Linked DNA regions of Mus musculus. The protein of the gene in region 2 purifies or fractionates together with the protein of the main gene of each other region. This does not show direct contact. Links are inferred from orthologs where the notes say so. Each region holds a gene or a part of one and is shown on either strand. Other genes may lie near its edges. The genes, in order: Rrm2b and Rrm1.

Evidence for each region.
Region 1: the proteins of Rrm1 (region 2) and Rrm2b purify together in Homo sapiens (affinity purification with western blotting; 3 studies listed by BioGRID and IntAct, counting the BioPlex papers as one, with this or other methods). This does not show direct contact. The link is inferred for Mus musculus from reciprocal best matches to the Homo sapiens genes RRM1 and RRM2B.

The regions. Positions count from the first base shown.
Region 1 is NC_000081.6:37,926,578-37,930,198, forward strand, and holds part of Rrm2b (ribonucleoside-diphosphate reductase subunit M2 B), read right to left. Parts: intron 2,575-3,621; coding exon 2,461-2,574; intron 821-2,460; coding exon 668-820; 3' UTR 1-667.
Region 2 is NC_000073.6:102,458,570-102,462,388, forward strand, and holds part of Rrm1 (ribonucleoside-diphosphate reductase large subunit), read left to right. Parts: intron 1-819; coding exon 820-1,021; intron 1,022-1,721; coding exon 1,722-1,871; intron 1,872-2,060; coding exon 2,061-2,282; intron 2,283-3,037; coding exon 3,038-3,114; intron 3,115-3,819. UniProt on the Homo sapiens protein: Provides the precursors necessary for DNA synthesis. Catalyzes the biosynthesis of deoxyribonucleotides from the corresponding ribonucleotides.

The DNA.
Region 1 (3,621 bases), on a different chromosome or scaffold from region 2:
CTCTGGCGAGGAGTGGACTGCATCACAACGCCACTGTACTTGATCTTCTCACTAATATTAATTAGCAGGTGAGGCAGTGGAGATAAAAGTATTAGATAAACAAACTATTTCTGTATATTAGCCCTCTGGTCACCTCCATGAACTTGGGACTTACTATTATACAAATTTTACAGATAAATATCCTGACGTTTACAGTGACTAACTGACTTGCCAAGGTCACATCAAGGAGTAAGCCAGAATATCAAGCTCATACCTGACTCCTAAATCTATGCTCTTAATGCCATCTTAAGTGCTTATGACAAAAAGGAAAAAAAAAAGACATATTGGTCACACTTTCATTGTATAAATAAACTGAAGTACATTTAGATAAAATTAAATCATTTAGAATTTAGTTTTATATTTCCTTCTATTCAAATTCTCATTCCCTTAAATGAGATACTGAAAGTTTCAAAAAGACAAAAATAGATTGCTATTTACCAACAACAGGTTTCCATGTGTTTTGTTTGTTTTCGCTGTTCTGTTGCTTTTGAGATAGATCTCAGTATGTATCCCTGATCATCCTCAAACCCAGAGATCCACGTGCCCTCAGCTTCCTCTGAGGACTGGACTAAGGCATGTACTACCACAGCCGAATTCTATAGATTTTTTTTTTTAAATGAGGAGGGCTTTAGAAATCTGCATCCAAGGTGAAGACATTATCTGTGGTTTCGGCCATGACTGCAAATCGCTGATACTCAGAAACTCGTTTCTCAAAGAAATTTGTTTTCCCTTCTAATGAAATGTTCTCCATAAAATCAAAGGGATTTTCTGCCTGAAAAATCTGGAAAGAAAAGAAACGCCATTAGACATTCTAAAGAATCCAAATTAAATCTCACAGCAAGGGCAAAATGGCAAAACCCAGAGGGCAGGACTCCACTTCATAGTCGCCTACAGCCACACTGCTCCACTAAGGTACTGAGGGTTTCTGATGGCTGTTCCCAGTTTCATTTAAAGTTTCAAAGGTTTTTGCAAAACCATTTTTTCCTTATAAAACAAGTCTCTGTCCTACAAATTTTATGTATTTGTCTGTTTATCAGAGATGGGGCAGGTACCCCAGATTGGCCACAAACTTTCGATCCTTAGAAATGTTAGAGTTACAGATAAACATCACACATCTAATGTGTCCCTTGTATTTTAAAAGTAGATTAATGTATTACAAATGCTTTTGTAGAATCCAAAATAAATTCAAGACCACCCAGCCCCTCCCCCCTCTGAAGGGACTTCCAGACTGTATAGTTTCCGTGGTCAGAATGACCATGTCTCTTGTGTTTTGGTTCAGATAGTGCCTAGATTATTATACCACCCTGAGGACTAAGTTTAGAGACCCTGAATAATAACCACAACAAAAATAACAGTTTTCAGAAAAATTCCTCTACCCCACCCTACACTGAATTCTGAAAAAAACACAAACCACCCTGACCTTGTTGCTAGAATTACTCTGATGTTAATAGCCGTGACATAATAGCTGTGATGTTACTAGCTGACCCATAAGTTCAAAACATTCTGCTGCTTTGCTGAAAAACCACAAGAGCAGGCAGAGTGAGGGACTAGGCCAAAGGGTTACTTAGTCACCCTATACAAACCAACCAATGTCTGAAAGGGTTACTTGCTACACCAATTAGAATAAGCCAGCTAGCCGGGCAGTGGTGACACATGCCTTTAATCCCAGCACTTGGGAGGCAGAGGCAGGCAGATTTCTGAGTTTGAGGCCAGCCTGGTCTACACAGTGAGTTCCAGGATGGCCAGGGCTACACAGAGAAAACCTGTCTCAAAAAACAAAACAAACACACAAAAGAATAAGCCAGCTAACCTGTTGCCTAAATCTTCCCTTTAGAAGGTATAAAAAGTGTGTTCTTTGTTCATTCGGGGTCTCTCCTCTGGCCTGCGTGCTGAGACCGGTGGGGGGGGGGGGGGCAACATGTTGGATTAATAAAAACCTCTTGCGGTTTGCAGCGATGGCAGTCTCTGTGGTCTTTATGAGTGAGGGGTTTTTGGCAGACTCCAACACTTTCAGTAAAATTAACTTTAGAGACCTTATTTGCCTATAACATTTTATTGGTAGTATGGTGGTTTGAATGAGAATAGACCCCAGAGGCTCATATATTTGAATGTTTGGTTTTGAGCTGGTGAGCTGGACGTATGGACTGTTAGAGGAGGTGTGTCACTGTGGATGTGTTTTTTGAAGTTGTTTTCTCTGCTTCCTGTCTATGATAGATCAGGATGTAGCTCTGAGCCCCTGCTCCAGCACCAGGCTTGACTGCCTTCTGCTCTGCTCCCTGCATGACAGCCACGGACTCACCCTCTCAAACTGTAAACAAGGCTCCACCACGTGTTTTCTTTGATAAGCTGCCTTGCATCTTTTCACAGCAATGGAACAGTAACTAAAACCACTAGTCACATGTTTTAAAACACTTTATTTACCTTTGAGAATCCAAGTTCTCCAAGTAATCTGTCAGCTACAAACTCAATGTACTGTTTCATCAAAACACAGTTCATTCCAATGAGGCCAACAGGCAAGGCTTCTGTTAAAAACTCCTGGAATGCAAACAAAATCAGAATAAGGAACAAAAAAATAACAATAAAATAAGCATACATTTCCCAAATATAAAGTATTATGGTTGGAATCTGAAATGCCCCCTACATGTTCATGCGTTTGAACATTTGGTCCCTACCTGTGTAGAAAGGCCATAGAACCTTTAAGAGCTCAGACTTGGCTGGCAGAAATAGTTCGCTGGGTGTGAGCTTGAAGGCCTTTTCCCCATCCCAACTCTACTTGCTGGTCTGCCAAAATCTAAACAAGCTGTACTTTAAGCTCCTACTAGAACCTTCCTTGCTATGACAATATCTTCTGAGCCATGAACCAAAATAGGTACTTCTTCCCTTAAGTTTCTCACAGAGGAAGTGACTAACATGGAGGAGTTTAGAATTATTCATACTCTAGACACTGATTTTACTCAAGGCAAGGTATGCCAGAATAAATTTAACATGACACATGATAGTCATCTGTTTACAAATGTTTGGGATAGTATTAATCGTATGATTTCACATTCTCGGGGCACCAAAGTTAAGTAGAAAATAGCACATTACTGGATCCTTCAATGTCTAGGACCTAGCTTCTAGATCTCCTCAACAGAGAAGAGGAGAATGCTTTATCCTGCAGACAGCTCTACAGACAGCTCTACAAAGACCACCACCTTGGCAGCATGACTGCAACAGGAGCAGAGAGAGAGAGACATCGGTTCCAGAGAGTATGAGAATGGACAGACATGGATTTGGAGGTTGGAAGATAAACTGAAGTCCAACTGAAAGACAGTGAGTGGTAAAGTGGAAATGGAGAAAAGTGGAAGCACATTAACCATGAAATTCATCTTCAAAGTGGTAGAAGATGCCAAGATGTGCAGCCTTCCCCTCACAGCATGAAAAACATCCTACAAAGTACGTACTCTTTAAAAAGAAGGTAAGTAAATTTCATTTTTAAGTTAGTTCTTACGAGTGATACAAAACACATGTAAGTAGATTATCAAGTTGTCTCTAGTCACAAAGCTTTGCAGGTCCTAAGCTAAGTTTACCTCACTAAGTCAC
Region 2 (3,819 bases):
ACACAAGTTAAAATTAGCACAGCACTGAATTATGTTTTGTTTTGTTTTTATTTTTTTGAAGGTTAATGATAGTTTCATTAGCGTTTGAGAAAAACAAGAGGGCAGGCAAGCTATAAATATTATCAACTGCAAGGAGGGATCTAAAAGAGGAAGAGAGAAAGCCATGCCCCTTTAGGTTAGGGTCTGAGAAAGTAGGCAGCTTTAGCAGTGGTGTTCAGTGTGCAGCTGCATGTAGGAGGAGAAGCGACTTCAGAGAAAGAAAGCCAGAGCAACAGGGAAAGCAAAACAGAACAAAAAGCAAAAGTAGATGCAGGCTGCGTGGCAGAGGCTCTGTAAGCAGCTGCCAGTCTTGATGGTGGTTTTTGTTCCTTTTGGTTGTGAAAAGTAGTATTGACTGGGTGGGGTTAAGGGTCATCTGAAGGACTCTAAAGCTGCCTGGTTTTCTGTGGTCTTAGCGGATAGAAAATAGATTTCAGGGTTGGAGAAATGGTTCAGTAGTTAAGAGTTTTTGCACAGTCTTGAGGCCCTGATTTAGATGTCAGATAACTAGATGACAAGCCAGGTGTCCTGGAAATACCAGTAACTCAGCTCTGGCTTCCGTGTGCCCAGGCATGTGCCCAGGCATGTGCCCTCACAACACTCATGCACATATACTTAAACAGACACACAAATAAATAGAACCAACCTTTTTTTAAAAAAAAAAAAAGTCATTCATTTTTTTCCCTCATTAGCAAAGCTTTGAGAATTTGCCTAATTTTATATTTTTCTGTATTCTTCCTAGGGTGTGAATGTTGAGATAATACTAGCTTTGTCTTTCAGTTACGAGAAGCAGGGTCGTGTCCGAAAAGTTGTAAAAGCTCAGCAGCTTTGGTATGCCATCATTGAGTCCCAGACGGAGACCGGTACCCCATACATGCTCTACAAAGATTCCTGTAACCGGAAGAGCAACCAGCAGAACCTGGGAACCATCAAATGCAGCAACCTGTGTACAGAAATAGTAGAGTACACCAGTAAAGATGAGGTAGGCGGAGAGACTGACTGCCTAGCACACCGAGGGACTGGAGAGGTGGTTGCTGCTTGTCGCTCCCTCACTGAACCCAGTGGTTATTTGAAGTGGTTGAAGGAGATTTTGTTCCCCAGGACTGAAAAGAAATTTTGTGGTGGAGTTATGTTAACTAAGCTGCATTTTAAAAACAATAATTTAAGTACCCGGGAGCAAGGAGAACGGAATGCACCAGGGAGTACAGTTAAGAGCTGGGCAGTGGTGGCACACACCTCTAATCCCAGAACAGAGTTAGGCAGATAGATCTCTGAGTTTGAGGCCAGCCTGGTCTATAAAGTGAGTTCCAGGACAGCCAGGGCTGCACTGAGAAACCCTGTCTCGAAAAACCAAAAGACCAAAACCAAAACCAAAAACCTATTTCAGTATTCTGAATAGTGCAACTCATGTGACTGATAGCAAGAGGAGTAGAATCCATGGGGTATAGAAATTTGCTGATAAATGATGGGAAACCATGATTTTAGGGGGTGGGGATTTTGCTGAGTTATAAAGAGGTTCCCAGTAAAGACTAATACATTCCTTGAGTTTGGTCCTCTGCACCAGTGTTGGGGTGATTGTAAGTTTTCACATCTGATTGTTCCAAAGGCTCTAGTGATCTCACTGATACAGGAAGAAGAAGTCAGGAGTGTGTGTGATTCTGACACCTTTCTCTGGATTGCAGGTTGCAGTTTGTAACTTGGCTTCTCTGGCTCTGAATATGTATGTCACACCGGAACATACGTATGACTTTGAGAAACTGGCAGAAGTCACTAAAGTCATTGTCCGAAATCTGAATAAAATAATTGATATAAACTACTACCCTATTCCAGAGGTATGGATAGATTTCTCTGCTTTATTGATCATTATTGAATCCAGATGGAGGACATTTGTCTTAGTCTGGCTGTCCCCAGAGTTGGTGTGAGAGAAGGAAAATGAAAAGGTTGTGTGTAAGTGTAGAATGTGGCCTTCTGAGTTCAGTGATGTTTTCTTTTCTTTTTTTCCTAAACCTTTTGGCACAAAGGCACACTTATCAAATAAACGCCATCGGCCCATTGGAATTGGGGTACAAGGTTTAGCAGATGCTTTCATCCTGATGAGATACCCCTTTGAGAGCCCAGAAGCCCAGTTATTAAATAAGCAGATCTTTGAAACCATTTACTATGGAGCCCTGGAAGCCAGCTGTGAACTAGCCAAGGAGTATGGCCCCTATGAAACGTATGAGGGATCTCCAGTCAGCAAGGGTGTAAGTAGATGGCTGATTTTCTGTTGCCTGTGAGTATGGGGAATGAGCTGAATGGCCCCTCCTCCATGGGACCTGGGAGGGTGTGCTGGGTTGTGAGAGGGTCTGTACAGATTTAGTTAAGGACCTTGAGATGGCATTGTTTTGGATTATTAAGGCCTAGATTTATTCAAGTGCGCCCTAAATCCAGCAATCCCTGTTCTGCAAGAGACCGGGAGTTATGATATTCCCAAAACCTGTTCGTTCACACTAGTAGACTAGGAGATAGATTAATTATCCATGGTCTGGGACACCAGGGACTGGAATCTGGGGAGGCCTCTTAGAGTTGATTTCCTTGCTGCCTTTGTCTCTTCTTTATAAAGATTTAGTTTTGAAGTTTGTTCTGATACTTAGGAATTCTAATATGTGATTATTTGAAATTTGGTATTCTAGGCCAAATAAACAGATGAAGGAAGCAAAGAGCAGAGTGTGCTTTATTATAAAAGGAATGTATCTCTTAAAATGTTTAATGACTGTTAAGATTTCCTAGTTTGTCGATCCTCAGGAGTGTGGTGAGGTCCCAGGCTGCTTCTGAGCAATATGCTTAATGGAGCCATGTCTAAGACTCAGTGCAGCTAACGTCCCTTAATGTGTTGACTACAAGATGCAGTGGCTGGAATGTGGGGATATGGCAGTTAGTTATTTTAAAAAAATTTTTTTGGTCATTGTTTTAAATTGCCCCAAAGTAACATCATAACTGTGGGGTATTTATCTCTTAGATTCTTCAGTATGACATGTGGAATGTTGCTCCTACAGACCTGTGGGACTGGAAGCCTCTCAAGGAGAAGATTGCAAAGTAAGGAGTGAGGTGTAAAGGACCCTGGAGGCCGGAGGCCGGGCTCTTCTGGCTCTTCAGGAGTTGGATATGCTAGTGTGACCTCTGAAACTTATAAATTATCTTCTGAAATGGGGCTAAAGTGACCTACCACAGAAATGGCTTTGGAAAGTATAAGAAAATAGTTACATGAAAGTTGTTTGGCATAGTGAAAGCCTTTCAACACACAGTAGGCATTTCAGTGGGAGTTGATGTTATTTGAGGAGCTGAACAACCATGCTAGTCAATTTTTTGTTTTATTTTGGTTTTGGGTTTTTTTTTAGATAAGTGTCTTACTATGTAGCTCCGAATGCCCTGGAACTCATGTAGATCAGGCTGGCCTCAAACTTGGAGATCCTCCTGCTTCAGCTTCTTGAGCACTGGGACTAAAGGCATGTGCCATCACTACCTGACCCAAATAGGTCTTCGTTTTAAAAATGTTTTTATTCTTTAATTAATTGATTTAATTTTATTTTGTGTGTGTGTATGTATGTATGTATGTATATATACACACACATACATACACGCACACATGTAGTTTTTCATGTAAATGTGATTGAATATGACATATTCTGAGACTTTTTGGTGTTTGGTTTAGAGATCTTTCAGTGTAGTGTAATTACAATTACTGATGATTCCGTAATTGGGATTGAGCAAGTATGACATGAAAGTGTTTTCCTATCTATA